3 linked regions of the Kluyveromyces lactis genome follow. The main gene of each other region encodes a partner of the protein of the gene in region 3 in a complex. Links are inferred from orthologs where the notes say so. Each region holds a gene or a part of one and is shown on either strand. Other genes may lie near its edges.

Region 1 (2,945 bases), on a different chromosome or scaffold from region 3:
CTTGCTTGCCTAATACAGATGAAATATAGGTCGAACATGGCAATTGCGATATTGTAGCTATTTACCAAATAAATTGGGTACGATATTTTTTTTGACGATCGGAATTTGTTCACTGTCCGCCCTGACGGATCACAAAGGTATATACAATATGTTTTGACTGGAAGCGTTATCAGTATACTTTAAATTGTGTCAACGTTGAAGTTACGATTGTTTTGTGAATTTATTAAGGCTTTTGACTTCTTGTTTAGTGAATAAGGTAATAAGTATAGGCAAGTTGACTTTTCTATCCAATAGTTCATTACGTCCAGCCTTGATTTCAATAAACGAGTCTAGTTTATTAAATTGATGTAGTGCTTTCCCGTTTTCAGTAGTCTTGAAGATCTCTATTATCGAAAGTGCTTTTTGTACATGAACTCCATAAGCAACAAGTACGAATGTATCAGCAGTGATAGCTGCGAGTTGATCCACACATTGTTTAATATTGGAGTTTTTACTGTACGAAATAATTGCTCCTACAGATGTCTCAGACGCATTGTTCCAACCTGCACTTCGCAGGGTTTCTGGGATGATTTTTTCTTTGATGTAGGTCGAACATTCTACGTAGGTGGAAGGATCTATGCCTTCTACTTCAATTTCGTTATATTTTAGTTTGGAAGAAGCCATCGTTGTTGCTTTGTAGCTAATTACTCAACTAAGGCGAGTTTCTCATCGATTGAATTATCAATACTCAATGCTACGATAACTTGGGAAGTTATTGTAGATTTCTTTTCGACGAGATGGGATGAGCATTGATACGATGAAAGCTATTCTGCGGACTGTTTACACCCTTACATATGTAAAAAATGTCAACACAACACCCATGCACCTTGATAAAACTCCAAAGGAATTAATTTCCTCTTTGACTAGTGGTCACGTGCATTTAAACAATGCAAACCCGTTGTATTAAGCAATACAACGTTAAAGTATTAACAAGTCCGGCATATGGATTGAATCCTCAGCACCAGATGGTTTTCAAGCGTAGAGGGTACATCCTGATACCATTCACTCAAGCTCCTTCTTTTTTATAATATACCATATGAGTTACACCTATTTCTGTATGATTAACGGATGCTTGTTTGTTTTTCATGTGGGCCTTAATTTGGAAATTGGAAAATCTCAAATTTTTCATCGCTGAGGGAAACCAAACTTGAAAAATATTGAATTTTATGATAAAACGTCCTTTACATATGAATATACATAATTGGATGTTAAGTACTTGATTAGATTTGTAGTTTGTATATAGTTTACAAGAACCACAGGTACTACCTTAAACATCCTATCACTAAAAAAGTCGAAATGGGGGGCGTCCGTGAAAAGAAAGCTGAATACTTTGCCAAGCTAAGAGAATACTTGGAAGAATACAAGTCTGTCTTCGTTGTTGGTGTTGACAATGTGTCTTCCCAACAAATGCACGAAGTCAGAAAGAACTTGAGAGGCAGAGCTGTTGTCTTGATGGGTAAGAACACCATGGTCAGAAGAGCTGTCAGAGGTTTCATCTCTGACTTCCCAGACTACGAAAAGTTGTTGCCTTTCGTCAAGGGTAACGTTGGTTTCATCTTCACCAACGATTCCTTGCAAGATATCAAGGAAGTCATCATCGCCAACAAGGTTGCCGCTCCAGCCAGAGCTGGTGCTGTTGCCCCAGAAGATATCTGGGTTCTCGCCGTCAACACCGGTATGGAACCAGGTAAGACTTCTTTCTTCCAAGCTTTGGGTGTTCCAACCAAGATTGCCAGAGGTACCATTGAAATTGTCTCTGACGTTAAGGTCGTTGACGCTGGTAAGAGAGTCGGTGCTTCTGAAGCTTCTTTGTTGAACTTGTTGAACATTTCTCCATTCACCTACGGTTTGACCGTCGTTCAAGTTTACGACAACGGTCAAGTCTTCCCAGCTTCCATCTTGGATATCACTGACGATGAATTGATCTCTCACTTCATCTCTGCTGTCAACACCATTGCTTGTGTTTCCTTGGCTGCTGGTTACCCAACCTTGCCATCTGTCGGTCACTCTTTGATCAACAACTACAAGGACTTGTTGGCTGTCGCTATCGCTGCTGACTACATCTACCCAGAAATTGAAGAATTGAAGGACAGAATTGAGAACCCAGATGCTTACGCTTCTGCTGCCCCAGTTGCTGCTGCTTCCGGCTCTTCCGAAGCTGCTGCTGAAGAAGCTCCAGCTGAAGAAGAAGAAGAATCTGATGACGACATGGGTTTCGGTTTGTTCGATTAAACACCTTATAATTATGGAAACAATAACAATTAAATTTTAAATTCACATATCGGTTTCAGATGATCAATCTGTATCTATAAGTTTAGTTAGTCTTTATTAATTTCTATCTTAAGCGCACAAATCTTATCGCATCAAATTATCGTGTCTTCATGGCGACAATTTATTTGTTTTTTGCCTGTCTAAGCGGTCCGCTCCATAGTAGTGTAGGTCAGATTATTGCTAATATTTGAAGAAAAACTGACGTCGGACACAAACTAGATTACCGTTCACTAACAGTTTGGTCAAAGTTGATGGCATAGCTTAGCAACTAGCACACAGGCGGTCTGATTAAGATGTCTTTATCGGTGAGGAGTCAAAGTCAAGATAATAAAGTCCTCTCAGATCTGTCTGAGAAGAAGTCATTTTTCAAACCTTTCCAGCAAGATAAGGATCTTGATGATAATCTAGTTTCTTTCGACCATGAAAGAGAATTCGTACAAGATCCTACTATTGGATCTAGTATCAAATTGGATGGTTCAGATGTGATAAAGTTTTCAGTTCGTGTTGACGAATCTTTCAGACTAATTTACGATAAAAATAATAATGCTTTAAAAGATGGTTCCAACACTCAAAATAAAAGTGAAGAGGCAGACAGTGAGAATATAGATATCATCGAAGGGGAGTTTTACTGGAAA
Region 2 (2,163 bases), on a different chromosome or scaffold from region 3:
TTAAAGCACACCTATATACTCATATATACCAAAAACAAATAAAAAAAATAGATGAGATAATAATCATGCAGTGATAATGACGATATAACAGAGCTTGTACTAATAATACCAGGGAAAATTCATACTGTGTATAACCTCAGTCATTTTTCCTTGTGAAGCCCAAAATAAAACTTTAAAAGCTCGCAAAGACAATTAACACAGGTAAAAAAAACCTACCACTGGACGCTTAATACAAGCTGTATTATCATCATTAGAGTAGTAATCTTATCGTCTCATCAATGAAAGAATGCAGATAAAAAGTATGCGTTTATTATAACTTATTTGACGAGTTTGTTCATTTCAATCTGGATGGTTCGTTCCTCAGGTAAAAATTGCCAGTACAAAGTGCTGGTAATTAAATCAATTCAAATTCAATTTAAATTCAATTCAATAAGAGTACTTACCCCACACCATGGGTTGAAACAGACGATTGGTGGAATTTCCAAAAAAAACAGTTGATATGGTATTAAAGAAAGTATTAGTGTCTCTCTAGACTACCCTTACAACTTGTTAACGTTGAAAGTTGGTGGCAAAGATTGCAACAATTTCTTGGCCTTACCAGCATCGTTAACAATCAAGGTGTACAAGTATCTGGAACCTCTTAGCTTGAACTTGGTTTGTCTGAAAGCCTTACCGTTCTTGTTCAACTTCTTGTTGATCTTGACGGTAGCAGAGTTGACATCTTGTCTTCTGATCAATTCCAAGAATTCCTTAATATCAGCGATTTCCTTAGCCATTTTTGTTAATGTACTTCCTAGTTGTTGATGCTTGGAGATTCACAGAAACTATTAAGACAAAAGAGTTAATAAACTGTAATTAAAAGTTATAAAGAATACTAAACAAGAACCGATAATACAATGTAAAAAACGCTAAACATCAAAAAAACACTAAATGGACATATACAAAACACCACTATTAACGACAAATGTTAAAATCTAAAACGTTAAAACTGTCGAAAGTTGTTCGAAACTAAACGTTTACTGGCTTGCCAATTGCACAATACTCAATGAGCACAGTCGATGAGATTGGTGAAAAGTTTAGTTGATGGTGTGTGGGTGTCAGGAGGTTGGCTTTTAGAGATTTTTTGGGTTTCTTTGAGTATTATACTACCCAATTGAGAATTTTCTCGTTTTGTATCCGGATGTGTGGGTTTTTATTTTTCAGTGTTTGGAGTGTATGGGTGTTATTTTAACAATGGACAGTCCTTTGTTAATCACGTGATTTGAATTCTTTAATCCTACTATTGGTTCAGGTCACAAGAATACATCACAGGACTAGACATGCCAGCATCATGAATAAGATATCCATTCATTTACTAGATAACCGGTGGGGCATGATTATGTGTATATATATATATATATATATATATATATACTATGTTTGAAGGGTTCTACAACACATCCTCCATTTCCACGTCTTCCAAGTCTTCCTCCTCTTGCTCGTTCTCCTGTTGTTGTTGTTGATCAAATTGGTCTTGAATCTGCTGCTGTTGTTCTGGATCAGCGTGTTGTGCCAATTCACCAAGCGTAGCAGCTCTTTCAGCTTCCTTCAACTTTTTATATTCCGATTTTAAAGTATATTTCAAGGCATACGGACCCTTTTTCACAAGCATAGCAACTTGATCTAGCGATTCCTTTAAATATGCTTCTGGTTGTCTTGTTCTCTCCTTCAAACCTTTCAAGGACCAATAATCGTATTCATCAAACAACTTGAACAATAGATCCAAAAGTTCCTTCTTTGGCAAACGGATAGCCCTTGCGTTGTTCTTCTTTTCCTTTCCAACTTTTAAGAACTTGGAAGTGTCGGATCTCATCGACATACCGGCGTTACTCATAGTGACACCAGGAGTTTGGTCAAGCACCGTAACCGTTGGTTTGTGGATGTTTCTAACGATTTGTCTTCTATGTTCCACAATTGTATGGTAATTTGGATCGTCTATCGAGGGCATCACTTGACATTCGTGGTACACTTTCCCCGTCACTGCAGTTTTCTTCGGAATAGTCTTCACGTACGGGATGTATCTATCTCTACCGTCCCTATCCGTCATGACACGGTGCTGAAACCTTCTCTTGTTGTACTTACGCTTCATCTGCTGCTGTTTTTTCTTCATCTCTTCCTCTCTTT
Region 3 (2,175 bases):
GTTCAGATGTCAATTCGGCAGACGTATATTTAACAATGGAAGAAAGCTTAACATAGAGTTCTACACAGTAAAGTTCGCACAGGGTCCAATTCGAAAGAAGGGGATTTCTGTACAGATGTAGGTACACAGGCATATCTCATATATATTATAACGCAAAAAATATTAAGGAATCAAAAACACTCCACAAAGTCTGATATGGTCCATTCCAAACAGATGATATATATCTAGAAGAAATACGAATACAAATTATATATACACATGAAATGACATATCCAAAAAACTGTACCAATTCCGAGAAAATCGATATTCGATGTATCGACAGATAGTAGATGAGATACCAAAATATGCTCTGTTTATTAGTGTAGTATGTCCCAACTGCCAGTATTTTTGCCAATGTGTTTCTAATATTTCTTCATGATGACGATACCTGTGGTAAGTAATAGATTAATATGACGCTAAAAGGAAATTCGAGGGAGGGAGGAATGCTCCTTGAGAAAATGTGTTGAATTGTTTTATTTGTTTTTTATATTTTGACGTTTAATCGAACAAACCGAAACCCATGTCATCGTCAGATTCTTCCTTTTCAGATTCTGGAGCTTCTTCAGCAGCAGCTTCAGAGTCACCAGAAGCAGCACCGGCACCAGCAGCTGGAGCAGCTGGACCAGCGGCGTGGAAACCGGACAAGATTTCCTTGATGTCCTTACCTTCCAAAGCCTTAGCGAAGGTTTCAGCCCACACGTTGTCGATAGAGGCACCGGCAGCCTTGGTCAAAGTCAACAAGTTGTCGGCAGTGACATCCAAACCGGCATCAGCCAAGATCAAAGAGGCGTAAGAAATAACAGCGTCAGACATTGCTAGTTAGGTATGATGTGTATATGTGGATCTATAGCAAAATCGCAACAACAAGCAATTGAACCTCAACAAACAACCTAACTACAACTTATCAATAAATACGTGTTGTATAATTAAACGTTCAATATCTTATTGAAATCTAGCTAGTTTTCCAGTGAAAAATATTATTCGGTGAAAATTCAGAAAATCTGGAAAACTGAACAAGATTTGAAGTTTTGTTGATCCAAAAACGACAACAAGGGAGGGTAAGTTTACACAGAAGAAGATGTACAAGACAACGCCATAGATGTAAGAGACACTAAAACACTTAAAACAGGAACAGCTACGTGTTGCCAATCGTCAGAATATCCCATAGCACGGGTTTCAACTACCACCGGCCCCAAAAAGTGTTGTCAAGCTCGGTAGAAATACAATATAATTTATGCGTATCTCAGGGCAGAACTGTCAATATGGGTGTAGTGTATGGGTGTTAAGTGGGATTTATTTCCATTAATGGAAAAAACAGAATATATTATAATGAGAAATTTAAAGTGAGATGACTGGGTTTTACACACAATCATGACAGCACCATATGAACAGTCCCGAGCTACATATTATAACATGCAAAAGTGATAATAAAAAAAGGATAATTTTTTCTCCGATACCGGGAGTCGAACCCGGGTCTCCACGGTGAGAGCGTGGTGTGATAGCCGTTACACTATATCGGATTACTAATTTTAGATATCTCAATAGGACTGAACTCACTTCCCCACGAAAGGGTAACTTCTACTAAGTTACTGTAAATAATATCTTTCCTTCAATTCAGTGTTTCCCTTGGATCACTGTGAAGCAACCTACGAAAGGTTAGGACTGACTGTTCATTCCATTGTGTAATCCTGAGTGAAATTGATTTCTAATTATAGTATAATGAATGTTAATATATTAAAATTGAATTACATGATTATAGTTTTGTTTTTAATCTCATTTTCAATATTACCAAAAACTTTACGTGTGGTGTCAGCGCATACGCGAGCCAATACGCATATACTCAACGCTTCCATAAGAAAGAACTGTAAAACGGCGAAGATGAACAAGTAAACACTTCTTCCTTGAGCGCTTACCAACGGGCGTTTTTAAGCTGACATGATAGATAAAAAAAAAATCTGTATCCATTTTCTTGGTTTTCATAATTTCGTCAATAATAAAATTCTCAATTTGACTGCGTAGAAAAAAACATTAACTACGATTGGGTTGATCTCATTAATCAACAGACAGCTTAGTTGATCGAATTGTAGAATATTTTAAAGGTTTTTTTCTTTGAAAAAGGGCGTTTAATGAATTGGG

What was found.
Region 1: RPP1B (region 3) and RPP0 share a complex: the UniProt entries of both Saccharomyces cerevisiae proteins name them as parts of the large ribosomal subunit. The link is inferred for Kluyveromyces lactis from reciprocal best matches to the Saccharomyces cerevisiae genes RPP1B and RPP0.
Region 2: RPP1B (region 3) and RPL38 share a complex: the UniProt entries of both Saccharomyces cerevisiae proteins name them as parts of the large ribosomal subunit. The link is inferred for Kluyveromyces lactis from reciprocal best matches to the Saccharomyces cerevisiae genes RPP1B and RPL38.

The regions. Positions count from the first base shown.
Region 1 is NC_006038.1:532,397-535,341, reverse strand, and holds RPP0 (60S ribosomal protein uL10), read left to right. Parts: upstream 1-1,335; coding exon 1,336-2,271; downstream 2,272-2,945. Other genes in the region: ribonuclease P/MRP protein subunit POP6, read right to left, coding at 202-663; KLLA0_B05885g (uncharacterized protein), read left to right, coding at 2,604-2,945. UniProt on the Saccharomyces cerevisiae protein: Component of the ribosome, a large ribonucleoprotein complex responsible for the synthesis of proteins in the cell.
Region 2 is NC_006039.1:1,609,155-1,611,317, reverse strand, and holds RPL38 (60S ribosomal protein eL38), read right to left. Parts: upstream 777-2,163; coding exon 540-776; downstream 1-539. Other genes in the region: transcription factor IIF subunit TFG2, read right to left, coding at 1,430-2,163. UniProt on the Saccharomyces cerevisiae protein: Component of the ribosome, a large ribonucleoprotein complex responsible for the synthesis of proteins in the cell.
Region 3 is NC_006042.1:543,674-545,848, reverse strand, and holds RPP1B (ribosomal protein P1 beta), read right to left. Parts: upstream 853-2,175; coding exon 538-852; downstream 1-537. UniProt on the Saccharomyces cerevisiae protein: Component of the ribosome, a large ribonucleoprotein complex responsible for the synthesis of proteins in the cell.